Linked DNA regions of Oryzias latipes. Each later gene encodes a partner of the first gene's protein in a complex. Links are inferred from orthologs where the notes say so. Each region holds a gene or a part of one and is shown in the gene's direction. Other genes may lie near its edges. The genes, in order: arid2 and pbrm1.

Region 1 (2,597 bases):
CATCATTAACACAAAAAACTTGGAGATGTGAGGTCTCACACCTGTACTATGGGTAAACGCGGTTTTGTGTATCAGTCGACTGTGCTTTTTAAAGATTTACATGTATAGTTAGTTTTAAGCTGCTGTTATTTAAAGTTGTGTGTGTGTTTATTGTATTTTGTCACTTTTGTACAAGTTAATACACAATTACAAGTACACACAGTTACGCACATTGTATTGTATGAGTTACAAATCAAAAACTATACACACACAAATCGAAGGAGACTGTTCTTTTCTTTACAGGATTTGTGTCTGCGTAATTTTTGATAACTGTGTGTACACTCAACTACCGAAAATATGAAATACACTTTACGCACTGACAACCTGAAATTTCAGCCAACGGCTCCAACGCACAGGAATCTTTAAATTGCACGCACCAGTCGCCCGATGCACACAGAACTGCACAAATCCGATGCAAGACTCGCCACATCTCCAAGTTTGGTGTTAGACGATGTGTTTAAATGCTGCTAGAATGCTGGGTCATCAGAGTTTTCCTTACAGCCACTTTGAACTTTATTGTGAATAATTTCTAGTAAAAACTTGATATTTTTCCACTTTCTTAAACGGATGCGCCCGGATAATTAATATAAAAAACAAAACCTCTAAATACGCTTTTAAAAAAGCTCAACACTGAAGCTAGACCTCCGGCCTTAAAGGGTTAACTGGCTTTCACCAAAAGTTTCTTTTACCAGGGTTTTGGCAGTGTTTGCTTTTGATGGCATCACCTCTACGATGTTTGCTGACTTGTGTTTTTGGCGTGTTGTGAAGGACACCCCCGGTGGCCGGCAGCCCCGTGGCACAAAGGGCGCCCAAAGCAATCATCAATCACCCGAGCGCCGCTCTGATGGCGCTGCGCAGAGGCTCTCGAAACCTGGTCTTCAGGGACTTCACTGTGAGTACAGCAGACTGACCCGGTGCAGTTCTCCTGCCCTTCAGAAGGGCTTTTGGTGGTGGGTGGGGGGCAGTAAGCAGCTCAGACTCCAGTCTGGACTGACACTGGAGTAAAGAGATCTGAGCAGTTTTATGTTTTTTACATTACTGTTGACATTTACTGATGAACGTTTTTTGTCAGAATTGCTAACTCTAAACCCCTCCCTTCTCTGTCTGTGCCTCCCCAGGATGAGAAAGAGGGACCAGTGACGAAACACATTCGACTAACTGCTGCCTTAACGTTAAAGAACATCGCAAAGCACTCAGACTGCGGTCGAAAGTGAGTATAAGAGCCAAAGATACACAACTTTCGCAGAATCGCACCAGAATCCGTTTACAACCGAATGGCACCAATTTCCGTCATTGTCATTATGGATATGGACAGTAGGGGTGCTATATAAACTCATCATCCTCTCTTTCACTCTCACTCATGGTGCAGAGACTTAAGCATAGTGGGACAAAATAACTCTGCAAAACTCGGTAAAACACAGTAAAACAGCTAAACAACTAAACACATTTGGTCAAAAACCCACACTTAAACCAAAATCCGTCCAGACAGGGAAAAGAAATGGTATCCCACAATCCCTTGCGGTGCCGATCTAACAGCAGCACCAAAGTTACACCTACTTATTTGAATCAATTGAATTGAAAGTAAAATAACTATCTGAAAACTACGTGTTACTTTTTAAACTGACCTAACAAAAAAAAGATTTATCTTAACTGAAGCAAATAATTAAGTTAGATCAAAGTAAAAAAGTTTCTCTTTCCAACATCCTTATGTGGTCTTATCCCCCTCTCACGGTGGAAAAAATATTATCTGAGCTTGTTCATCCACTAAATCATCTTCAAATGGACACGCCATGCTGCTTCACCTCACTGAAAACAAACTAACCTTCAACTAAACCTGCTCCAGACCAGGTTATGTGCAGAGCATGAGTTGCTATGGCAACGTGACCTACCCTGAAACATACCTCCATTTATCTGCTTCCTTAGCCTTACAGTGGTAACTCAAATAACCTGCTTTATGGAATACCCCCATGAATCTGTTTATAAGGGAACTGCAGCAGAATCTGTTTACAAATGGACCACTCCATAGTCTGTTTATTATGAACTCAATGTTGAGACTTGATCAGCCATGTCTTGATCTCCAGGTATTCATGCAGCGACTCGTTTGATTGGTCAGATTTATTTTTATAGTGTTTGTGTTCGAGCCTCTGAACCTGATTGGTGAAGACAGTTTGATGATAGCGAAACTCAAAAATGAAAAAAATCCGCCAAAGTTGCAGGTTTGAGAAAAACTGGGATCTGGTGTAATTACCAGATTGTGAAATCCTAGAAGGATTGCTTTTGGAACTGCACCTGGTTCTTTTGTTTTCAAACCAGGTGTAACCTGGAAGTGAACAGGATGCCTAACTTCAGCAGGGTTGTTGTTTTCCTCTCACACACTAATTTGTTTGCAGCTTTTCCTTAGACGTGTCTATATGTGTAGGAATCAAAGCTGCTGGTGTGAAACTTGAGCTTTGTGGGTCCATGTCTAAAGATTTGATTCTTCTCATTTGTCAGGTTGGTGAAGAGGCACGAGACGCACCTCTCTGTTCTTGCGTTGAGTAACATGGAGGTCTCCACCA
Region 2 (3,829 bases), on another chromosome or scaffold:
AAAGGTTTTCAAGGATTCCCCACGTGTTTCAATTGAGGCAAAAATCCTGGAAATCCTGGGATATCATGAAAAGTTCAAGCATTTGAAAAACCAAAGGTCATAGCTGGAAAAAGCTGAAAGAGCTGAACATTTGAATAGTTGAATGGTTAAAAAAACTGAAAAATTGTAGAAGGAGATACTATAAAAAAGAAAGAGAAACAGGAAAACAAGGGGTTAAAGGGTTTACAACATTCAACCAATTAAACCAAATTAGAAAATGGAAAAGGTAGATATTCTGGGACATGGAGCACTGATTGGATGATGACGTTTGTTTGCCTTTTCAACCTATGTTATTTGTGATGGCGGTATCCACAGGCAGAAGCTTCTGACCACAATCACTGCAAAAGTTCAATCAACCTTTTACCACAGTTCAGGTAAAACATCCTTCTGCTTTCCCTCTTCTTCAAAGCTCAAACATGATCAACCAATCAGTGACATCCCATTGTGTCTGCCTTTTCCAGTTTCTTAGTTTGTTTCCTTATTTGTTTGGATTTCTAAAATGTAGTGCTTTTTCTGATTATTTGTTTTGCTTTTGTACTGTCATTGTGTTCTTTAATATGTTTGAGTGCTGAGTGATTCATTGATCTGATTTGCACTTCGAGGCCTCTGTGTTGTAGTAGAAAATGTCTCCAGTCAAAAGGATGATGAAGCTGATGAACCAAGGCATTTCCATAAATCTGATCCCTTTCATTCTAACTCAGACGACACCTTCCTGCTTAAAGGATGTCCTAGAGCAGCTTCTTGATGCTGTCGTGTCTTATACCGAACCAACGGGACGCCTAGTCAGTGAGCTGTTCCAGAAGCTTCCCTCCAAAATGGTACATGGGACCCCGACAATTCATATGTTAGGAGTCTTTACTCTAATTTGAAGTCTCTCTTTTGTTTAGCAATATCCAGACTATTACGCCGTCATCAAAGAACCGATAGATCTGAAAACCATCGCTCAGAAGATCCAGGTACCGGTTCCAACGGAGCTGTCTGGGTGTGACGAAGTTTTTGCTGTTTTTATCCACATCAAGTAAATTTTTTGTTCTAGTTGGGTCACTACAGGAGTTGTGCTGCCATGGCAAAAGACATAGACTTGTTGGTGAAGAACGCTAAAGCGTACAATGAGCCGGGGTCACAGGTTTTTAAGGTATGTTTCTGAGAATCTTATGTGCTGCATAGTGTCCGTCCGACCTTTCACACGTGTTCCTGGTATTTTGTCTGCTAGGACGCTAACACGATTAAAAAGATTTTTGCACAGAAGAAGTCTGAGCTGGAGCACGGGGAACCTGTCAAATCCAGCATCCGCATCAGGTTTGGACCACAACGACCTCTTTAAACAACGTCGGCGGGAACTTCAGCGAATTTTGGTTTGACCTTTTCTAACGTGTTCTCTGTAAGGAATAGAAAGTCAACTCAAGGGGATCGCCTCTCCGCCATCACCATGGCACTTCAGTATGAGAGTGACGAGGAGGGAATACTATCTGGTACCTTTGCTCCTCTTTCGTAAATGGACTTAGTTTTTCTCAGACATTGATGATGCTTCTTTATTTTGTGAAATCCCGTGTTTATTGTTCCTGCATTTGTCAGGCTCTGTCCACTATGATGAGGGGGAATCTGAAGCGGAGAGCATGACATCAAACATGGACATGAGCAACCCCATCTTCCAGCTTTACGAAGCCGTGCGAGGAGCCAGGAACAGTCAGGGCCAACTGATTTCCGAGCCTTTCCTGCAGCTGCCCTCCAGGAAAGACTATCCTGACTACTACCACCAGATCAGTCAGCCCATCTGCCTGCAACAGATCAAGTATGGCGGAAATAAGTGGAATTAAAAGAATATTTTAATAAGGAACAAATTCAGTGTTGGACAAAAGTTTCTCAAGAAAAATGATGTTGTTCACCGGGAAGTTTGTTTACCTCATGTTTTTGTTGCTTTTAGTTAAAAGTTCTTTTGTTTTCTTTGCATTTCTGCCCGTGAGAAGTATTTTCCCCACACATACTCACCCACTGTAAAGTCCAGTATTTCTGTGCCCTCTCCCCCTTCCCAAATGTGAGAACCCTCAATTCCCCACAGGAGCAAGATGAAGAACAACGAGTATGCGAGCGTGGAGCACGTCGACTCAGATCTGACGTTGATGTTTGAGAACGCCAAACGCTATAATGTTCCTCACTCCTCCATCTACAAGCGTGCGCTCAAACTCCAGCACATTCAGCAGGTCTGGTTTTTCTGCTCCAATCATCTTTTGATCTTTATTCAGTCAGCCACCAACTGTGCAGGTTCTTCCACTTAAAAAGATGAGAGAAGCCTGTACTCTTCATCATGGTTTCCCTCATCTAAAATCTCATTGTCTGATTTTTTTCAAATAATTTATTTGTAAATTATGGTGGAAAATAAGTATTTGGTCAATAACAACAGTACAGCTTTGTTATATACCCTTTGTTGTCAATGACAGCAGTCAAATGTTTTCTGTGAGTCTTGTGTTGTTGGTATTTTGGTCCATTCCTCCATGCAGATCTCCTCTAGAGTAGTGGTGTTTTTGGGTTGTTGCTGGACAACACAGACTTTCTTCTCCCTCCAAAGATTTTCTATGGGGTTGAGATCTGGAGACTGGCTAGGCCACTTCAGGACCTTGAAGTGCTTCTTATGAAGCCACTCCTTCGTTACCCGGGCAACGTGTTTGGGATGGTTGTCATGATGGAAGGAGGTTTTCATTTAAAATTTGACGATACATGGCCCCATTCATTCTTTCCTCAACACAGATCAGTCATCCTGGTCCCTTTGCTGAAAACAGACCCAAAGCATGATGGGTGAGATCTTGCGAGGAGTCTCAGATCGAGATTATCAGTGGTCTTGTATGTCTTCCATTTCTTCACACCAAGCTGCTTACCTGTTGCAGATTCAGTCTTTCCAGCCTGGTGTAGGTCAACATTTTGGTTTCTGGTGTCCTTAGACAGCTCTTTGGTCTTAATCATAGTGGAGTTTGGTGTGTGACTGTCTGAGGTTGTGGACAGGTGTCTTTTCTATAGATAACCAGTTCAAACAGGAGCTTTTAAAACAGGTAACGAGTGGAGGAAAGAGGATCCTCTTACAGAAGAAGTTACAGGTCTGAGAGCCAGAAGTTTTGCTTGTTTGTAGCTGACCAAATTCTTACTTTTCACCATAATTTGCAAATAAATTATTTAAAAGTCAGACAATGTTATTTTGTGTCCTCCATCATGAGCAAAATGCTAAAAGACGATATTAAAAACACCAAAACATCATTTTCATTAGAGTGGGGCTTTAAGAACACTATTTTTTAACTTCCATCAGTTTCTTTGTATTTTTCATGAAGTATAATGGCTGAATCCTGTTATTCGTGTAGCTGAAGAGGAAGGAACTTTTACAGAGAGAGGATGATGATGGTGACAGCATGCTCTCCTCAGCCACGTCTGACACCAGTACTACGAAAAGAAAAAGGTTAATTGCACCCATTTCATTCTCTGAACATTCATTGTGGAAGAGAACTTGGTGTTAATTCTGCTTTGTGTGTTTTCTAGTCATAAGAAGAATACCAAAAAGAATCGCATGAAGGCTCTGGTAGCTGCTGTGACTGAGGCGCGAGAGGCCGGCGTTGGTCGTAGACTGTGTGACCTCTTCATGGTGAAGCCCTCAAAGAAGGACTACCCCGACTATTACAAAATTATCCTGGAGCCCATGGACCTGAGGACCATCGAGCACAACATTCGCTCAGACAAGTATCTGACCGAGGACTCTATGGTGGCAGATATGAAGCTGATGTTCCGCAATGCTCGGCACTACAATGAG

What was found.
Region 2: arid2 (region 1) and pbrm1 share a complex: the UniProt entries of both Homo sapiens proteins name them as parts of the SWI/SNF-B (PBAF) chromatin remodeling complex. The link is inferred for Oryzias latipes from reciprocal best matches to the Homo sapiens genes ARID2 and PBRM1.

What each region holds. Positions count from the first base shown.
Region 1 is NC_019881.2:4,013,436-4,016,032, forward strand, and holds part of arid2 (AT-rich interactive domain-containing protein 2), read left to right. Parts: intron 1-807; coding exon 808-931; intron 932-1,157; coding exon 1,158-1,249; intron 1,250-2,532; coding exon 2,533-2,597. UniProt on the Homo sapiens protein: Involved in transcriptional activation and repression of select genes by chromatin remodeling (alteration of DNA-nucleosome topology). Required for the stability of the SWI/SNF chromatin remodeling complex SWI/SNF-B (PBAF).
Region 2 is NC_019863.2:2,537,131-2,540,959, forward strand, and holds part of pbrm1 (protein polybromo-1), read left to right. Parts: intron 1-740; coding exon 741-857; intron 858-926; coding exon 927-995; intron 996-1,075; coding exon 1,076-1,174; intron 1,175-1,252; coding exon 1,253-1,338; intron 1,339-1,425; coding exon 1,426-1,511; intron 1,512-1,614; coding exon 1,615-1,831; intron 1,832-2,098; coding exon 2,099-2,240; intron 2,241-3,386; coding exon 3,387-3,481; intron 3,482-3,561; coding exon 3,562-3,829. UniProt on the Homo sapiens protein: Involved in transcriptional activation and repression of select genes by chromatin remodeling (alteration of DNA-nucleosome topology). Required for the stability of the SWI/SNF chromatin remodeling complex SWI/SNF-B (PBAF).